2 linked regions of the Caenorhabditis elegans genome follow. The protein of the gene in region 1 interacts with the protein of each later gene in a pairwise test. Each region holds a gene or a part of one and is shown on either strand. Other genes may lie near its edges. The genes, in order: K02C4.5 and sma-1.

What was found.
Region 2: the proteins of K02C4.5 (region 1) and sma-1 interact in a two-hybrid assay, tested with the Caenorhabditis elegans proteins (one large-scale study listed by BioGRID).

What each region holds. Positions count from the first base shown.
Region 1 is NC_003280.10:8,076,286-8,080,217, reverse strand, and holds the start of K02C4.5 (FCH domain-containing protein), read right to left. Parts: upstream 1,784-3,932; 5' UTR 1,762-1,783; coding exon 1,715-1,761; intron 1,244-1,714; coding exon 1,178-1,243; intron 1,122-1,177; coding exon 656-1,121; intron 241-655; coding exon 1-240. Other genes in the region: K02C4.2 (DUF19 domain-containing protein), read right to left, coding at 3,497-3,552, 3,800-3,932.
Region 2 is NC_003283.11:11,897,719-11,901,650, forward strand, and holds the start of sma-1 (Spectrin beta chain), read left to right. Parts: upstream 1-1,730; 5' UTR 1,731-1,845; coding exon 1,846-1,912; intron 1,913-2,189; exon of another isoform or gene 2,190-2,361; intron 2,362-3,389; coding exon 3,390-3,652; intron 3,653-3,932.

The sequences.
Region 1 (3,932 bases):
TTTGGGTGAATCTATATGACGTAGTGAGTGCTCTTCAACAATTCCAATTCTATTATTTTTACTGTTAACATAAGGATTCGATGCTTTTTGTAGATCTTCATAGATCGGTGTTGCGTAGATTTGAGGTGGAGAGGAAATTGGTACTGGTGGTGGAATTGTTGATGGAGGATCAGGAACCGCTGAACGAATCGGTGGTCGAGGTGGTTTTAACTGAGTATCCGGTGCAACTGATGGACTTGCCTGGAATTGAAAACTATTATCGGATATTCACAGTCTCCAGAATCGCGTACTTTAAGGCGCACACATTCATTCGGATCAGTCTCACCACGATAATTTTTATGGTAGCTTTTTATCTAGAATTTGTGAACAAAATTCCTCGTTTTCATCGGTTTTACTTTTCGATGCGAGACCCATCCTAATGAATCCATGCTTTTTTGCACCTTTTCAAAAATTGAAATTCATTGGAATGAGATAAATTAAAACATGGAAGCATACTTTTCTGAAAATTCTCTTCATGCCTTCAATAAAAAGTGTTAAATTTGGGTAGTTTTAATAATTTAAAATTTTTCAAACTTATAAAACTTTTAGAAAGCCTCCTTATTTTTTGTTTCATTGTTTCAATCAATAATTTAAAAATAAATAAAATTCAACTAACTTGTAATTGTGCATGAGATCTAATAGCAGGTGGTGTCGGTGGAGTTGACTTAGATCCAGCTAGAACTCGTTCATCCTTCTCAATACATTCAAGAGAAGAACTTGTATTTTTTCGACTTGATCTCAATTCTGATTTTCTTTCAGGAAGTTTTGGAAACCATCTTCTCCCGCTGTTTTCTGTTTCTGAATGTTTTGTTGAGTTCAGATGCGAATGAATTGAATTGAAAAAATGTCGTCGTTTTGGTTTCTCAATTACAGTTCCATCTACAGCCATTTTTGTTCTCAATGATGATCTTGTCTCTCTCATTGCTTTATCCAAATCTACAGCCCCACATGAATAGACATTACACATTTTCCATAAGTTCAAATGTTCATTCTTCTTTGGATCCATATATTTTTTCAAGTTATTCGCCGTTCGACTGTGCACTTTTGCGATTTCTGATAATCTTTTTAGTGGGAGGTCTAGTCTAAAAACTGGTTTATTTTATTATTTGAAGAGATATCAGACAACCGTTCTTCTCACCTCGATTGTGAGAATGTGTCAATGATTGATTGCAGCTTTTGACCATAGTTGGCTTCTGCTTCAGCCCTGTAATTGATTGCAGTTCTAGACGATTGTAAGCTGGATTTAGTTGTAGATCCTATTTAAGCAGTGAGAAAACTCAAACTGGGTTTAGTTGGCAATTTTTTCAAAACTAAAACCAACCAAAATACGAGCAGCCAATGTTGAGAAATGGGGTGCCTCACTATTAGAGAAAATACGAAAATTGTGTTGTTCTCATTGTGATTTTCATATGAGTGCGTAGTACTGAAGGGTATAAAGACATTTTTTAGAACCAGAAAAAAATTTTCCTTTTTTTTCAGAAATCATTCGATCATTCATTCAATAGAAACATTTTTCAGGAATTCAGGAATCAGGAATATCTGACGTGGCAATTTTTTAATCTCGATATCATGGGAAATGTTTTGAAAATGAAAATGCGCATTAAAATATTGAAATTTTAATTCTAAAGCCCCCATTTCATCAATGCGAAAAATGTTTCAAAATCCTTAAACTTACAAATTGGCTGTAAATTCAAGCAATGCATAGTCGTAGCGAGTTGTCATTTGTTCCGGTTGATTACTGAAATAAATGGAATATTTTTGAAATTAAGTTTGAAATATTGAAAATATCGATGACGGATAGTGAGTGACACGGCTGAAATGTCAATTCTCTTGTGATAACAAAATGTGACGCTCGCTCAAACTCTCAAAAAATGAATGATAATCATTTTAAGAGGAAAGGGTGAAGCAAGAGAAAAAGCATTCCTCTTAAAGAGAGGAAAAGTATAAATCGATTGCTTATCATATCACACGGCCTCAATTCATTGTAGAAGAAGATGAGAGAAAAAGGATTCAAAGAGAGGGAACAACGAAAAAGGAGAAAATGATCGATGAGTGATCGTCAAAAAATCTAGGCGATTTGGGGGGACAAACTTTATGTTGGATACAAGAGATAAATGAAGTTAAGGAAAAAACGAGGGCACATGGAATTAAATGGATAGTGATAAGTTTTCATCCGGCCAGTAAATTCCCGTATTGCAACTTTGGTGAAGGTCGTCTAGGTAGGTGAAGGTAGTCAATCCTTTTCTTTTGATCAAAGAAATGTTTTTCAAAATTTTGGAAATTGGAGGTTGTAACAAACGGTGCAGTTTTTATTTCAAAAACACTGGGCATAAATGTTCATGTATAAATTGAAAAAAATCTCTCAATTTTATAGTTTAGACGGCAATAAACTCTACTAAATTTATCAAGTATACAGATGAACATTTACTTTTTTTTAATTTTCAGAGAAGAATTACATATTCATAACATCTGTTATAAAGTTTTGAATGTCTTGAAAATAAAGTTTACAATTTTCTGAACTTTTGGCGCTCTTACTATTAGAGCAAATATGTTTTTTAATGTCAAAAAATTGAGAAAAGAGAATAAGTAAAAATGATGATGTACCAAGAATGTGAAAGATCAGTGATTATTGATAAGGTGATTCAAGTAGTTTTTACTTTTCCCGATTCCTTAGAAGTGATTTTTTTCTGAAATTTCCAGTGATTTTTAATAAGTTCACAAGTTAAGTAATTAAGGAAAAAGACTTTAAAACAGTGGCAAATGTGTGAAAGCCAACATAATAAAAATTGTTAATTCAATTGATTGATCTTACTGGAAGTTCATAATATCAACCAATAATTCATAAAACAGCAATTCGAAAAAATGCCTCAAAAGTTTTATAGAAAATTTTTTTGGCGCTCGTTTCAATGCATTCTAAATCAAGAATAGTATATCCAAAACACATATGTATGTCATCGAGTTTAGTCATCGAAATGGATTTAACAATTATCATGCTTCTTATATGAAAATAATTGCTTATTTCTGGAAATCTCAAAATGAGCTCAACGCGCTGCGGCTCTCGAACAAAATAGCGGGAAACTGAAAGTGCAAATTAAAATAAAATTGAGTAAAGCATAGTCAAATAGAGTCGCCAGAATCTCCATTTCTCAATTCCGAATGACCTTTTCAATGGGAAAAAAGAGGAACGGAATGGGAAAATAGTACACGGAAGAGGGACGCCTGTGGCAGATGGCCTAACCCGATATAATGCTTCATGCACAGTCTCGACGTTTTTTTTGGTTCTTACGGACAGACTGAACCCCCATAACCTATTTCCCAGGTGTCAAAGAGAATATCATGGAATTATAATATTATGACAGTTTTATTTTTCTTTTAAACAAAGATCGTTAAGTGAATCTAAAATAAATCTATCTAAACAACAATAAATTAAGTATTTACATTCGTCATAGGGGTAATGTTATGAAGCTCTCGCTCGGATTGGTTCTTCTGTTTCACTTGACACGAATAGATGTGCTGAAAATTGATAATTATAAAAAATTATATAAAAAAAAGATATCAAAACATTTGAATATAAAATCTAGGTAGGGAAGACTGTGTTTATTCAAATTTGATTTGAAGAATAGCGGTAGACGGCAGTTCTCCAAAGTGACATGCGGTATGTTTTAATTATTTTAATTTAAAACAGAGTACATTAAAAGTTTAGCCTATATTTGAACACCTCAACTTACAGTGACTTCAAATTGATAAAACAAAAACTTACAAATACAAGCATACATCTGCTCAGATTTGCTGAAAAATCGTTGTTCCTCAGCACACAAATAGAAAGTTTTGAAAAATTCGTCTTCAGGTGGCAAGTAAAGATCACATTTCAACTTTCGAGTACATGCATTTCT
Region 2 (3,932 bases), on another chromosome or scaffold:
TTATCGCATTTACATTCTCACACTTCCACTTTTCAAAAAAGTAAAGAATACTACTTGTAAGGTGGTAGTGGACGACTGTCGGTGTCGGTTTTGTCGAGATTTCGTCTTTCATTCGACTGATCGGACAACTAGATACACTGAATTAGGTGGTGAAAGAAACTTTTCTTTTGAAAAAGGAGAGACCTACGTTTTTCTTGTCCGTTTCATTTCACTGCCTTCTGCCAAAATATGTGTGTTTTCTCACTGTTTTATCATCCTTTCAAAGTCTTGATTTTTTGGCTCGCAGTTTTTATGGTTGTCGTGGAATTGTTTGGTTCTCTGTTCCTCTTTGCCACAAAAAGTTTGTTGACTGTAGGTTAAAATTCAGTACTCTTTTAAAGATTTTTTTTACTGTAAACTACACGATTGTGAAAGAAACTTAGTCGTATTTTGTCAGCTTCAGATTTCGGCAAATGTTTGAGTCGGGAGTACAGCTCTGTTTATCTACATTTCCATTCTCTTTTCAAAAGTTGTTTCCCAAAACACCTGTCGACCTGTTACCCGTCCATAAATCATGCCAATATCATTGTCAATATGACGGCGTTTATGGTCAAGTATACCTCAACGAAATGCGTCAACTCTGACGCATCCGTGTTGACAGACGAACTCAACTCATCATAAGTACACAAATGGAAACGTATACACGCGTTGAATGAATAGATTGAATTCCTAGAAATGGGTGTGTTTTTTCCTTGAAGAATTGATCCATATGCGTTGTCGAAAAGTTGTTCTAAAATAATTTTCTGAATAACTAGAAGTTTTACAGTAATTAAAGTTTTTCGTTTGTTCAGAGATACTTAGTATTCTTAAGTTGCCTGTGCATATTCCTGTCATGCCTGTTTAAAGTAACTCCAGTGGGATTAACTATCAGAAACTCTCCCTAAAATAATATACGAATATCATAATAAGACTTTTATTTGAAAAAGTTTTTTGTAGGCAAACACCAAAATAACTAAATGTCCTCCACTCATAATTTTTGAAGTAGTCCGAAACATTTTAATATTCTCATATTTGGATTATGTTTTAAGCATTTTATAGGTCCAAAAATGAGGCATTGTTTTAAACATTTCCAAAAACCGACATTTTCGAAAATTGGCAATTTGCCAAAACTTTGAACAAGAACATGTATGATGTCTTTTTCTAGAAGTCAACAAATATTGTCAACAATAAACAAGAAATCATAAAAAACTATAATAATAAGTGGGCTGCTCATGGATAAGAACAAAAAGCGGTGTTCTTCCTGGCTCTTGAAACAGACATGTTTGAACTCAAGTGCCCCACTGTGGCGGTCAGCTATTTTTGTGTTTGTCAATTTCCGCCACCGGAATCCTCGATTTCTCGCCCATTTCGGCCACCACTCAATTGTTGCCGCCGCTGAACATTCCTTCCGTTCTTTTCCCGTCAGGCGAATACACATATTCGATACTTTTTATCCATCGCGCCGATCGATGGATGTCTTCTAATCGTCTCCGACACTTTCTCCGTTACTTCTTTCTCTCTCTCATCATATTCGGATAGTATTGTATAGAGAGACTCGGCAAAGGATAAACGAACGCCGGACGTCGTTGCAATTGAACACAGAAGAGATAAAGATTATATAAGAAGTTACCTTCTGAAGACTGAGGAGGAACCACCACGGCTACTGTCCGAGTGTCGCCGTGTTTCCTTGACCCTTTTTCTCCATATCTGACAAGAATCGAACACGGATTGTCAAGACTGTTCATAACGGAGGAAATACTACCACTTACTATTTTTCGACTTTGCTATATACATAATATATTCTTGCTAATATTGTGAAGCTTTATCATGTCGTATGTGTCGTTCGCGGCAAGCTACTCGCCTGGAGAAGGCAAAACAGTTCGAAATCTCAATGGTATGTGCTCTTTCATTTTAAATTCTTTGTAATAAGTTTTTCAAAAAAATTCTGAAATTATTAATTTGATTTTGGGCACATCAAAGTAGGTGCAAATTAGTTTCTGCAAACAAATTTTCTAAATTTTTATATTTGTGTTAAGTAGTCTTCTAAATTTTGGCGCTTGAATATATAATAGATCGAAGTAAAAAATTGTATGAATATTGCTAATTTTGGTGTTGTTGTGTTATATGCATTCTTGCACATTCTCACAGTCTGCTGCATTCCTTTCTCTCTTTATTTCTTCGTTCTCTCTATATGGAAGTGGCGAGAGGGTAAATATGCAACACTGCATACCATCAGTAGAGCGTCCATAGAGCCGTGAAGGAAAAGGGCACAGTGATAGGTGGTAGTGTTGAAGTGTCAATACAATTTAGTACTTTTTCTCTTTCCACATATTTTTGTCGCTATTCTAAAGTGAATCATTGTCCTCTGTGTCATTTCGATTTGCAATTTACCAAGTATGAGATATTTATGTATCTGTCTTATTGGGATCTCTATGCTGTGACAGATTGCTTCACTAAAATAAACAAAGTTCCAATAGCATTCCCTCCGTTGTCTAATCCATTTTCTGTTCTCACTTTTTGCCCCCTGGGTTCGTCTTTACTAATGAGTTCAGCAACCATCCCGCGGAGCACATTTCAGTGACTCATTCTTCTTTTTCGCAGTGATAAGACGCTGTTATCAGATGTAATAAACACGGGGAACGCCCCCACCTCCACAATATACCTTACTTTTAAAATTTTGAAAATTTTCGTGACGTTTCGAACTTTCTCTGCTTTTTTACTTGAAATTTAATCTGTCAATGTTTTTTGCTGGACATTTATAGCGATTGCTAAACACGTCTCTTTTTTGTTTAATTGCAGAATAGTTCCAACATTTTCTCAGAAAAAATTTCATTCGAAAAGCTTTCCAATTATTCCATTTTCTTTTTTGTAAGCCTTTTCTGATTCCAGTTAAATATTACTAACTTTGTTTGTGTCGCGTCGTCGTACGACATCCGACGTACAAATTCTTAATAAGTCATATTTCACGTGAACATTATTACGTGAACTTTGCCCACACACACAGAAAATAGTCGCACACATAGGAATGCCACGTGTACCACGTGTGCCACTCTTTCACTGTTTATGTTCGGCGAAACATTTCTTTATTTCAAAAATCTTTCACTTTTCTTGAAAGTATTTTGTTGCTGGATACAATTTCCCGTTTTAATTGTAAGTTAGGTTCAAACTTTTTCTCTGAAAAACGATGTGATTCCAAATATTAATAATCTTTGTCTTTTTTGTGCCACGTGGGCGTCTCTGTTGCATATCATTTTGATCATTATTCTCTTCAGAAATGTATATATAACTTGTCTTTCTTTTTTCTCTATCTATTAGTCACTTAACTACTCAAGAAACTTTCAAATTTATCAACTAAAATGTATATTTTTCAGACAAGGTAGAAGGGTATCGCAAGGAGATTGCCCCAAGTCGCGAAAACGTTGACTTCGATCACTTGCGAAGAACACCTAGAGATCCTTTACCGGAGAACGACTATCAGGCGACGAGCAGTACTGGATTATCGAGTGGGGAAGTAAAACCCTACCAGTACCGCGACTATCACCAACATCAGAAGCACGAGTATTACGGCGAAGGAGTGAACGACGGTGTATCTGAAGACAACGTTGAAGACAAAATGAGAAAATACGAAATGCAGGCAAGTTTATATTTATGAACTAGACAGGCTTTTTAAAGTAGCATCAACCTGTAGATCGAAAATGAATGTTTAAACCTATTATGATTGGATTTTAAGATAATCCGATTACGCGTTTGAAACATAAATCCCAATTTTGCCAATAGTCAAGCCAACACATCTAATATTTTTGTCAGATTGTAGTAGTTGTTTATATTTGCTCTAAAAGTCATGCCGAAAAAGTTAATTTATTCAATATCTATGAAATCAACAGCTTCATCTCCAACCCCAAGTGTTAGAACAT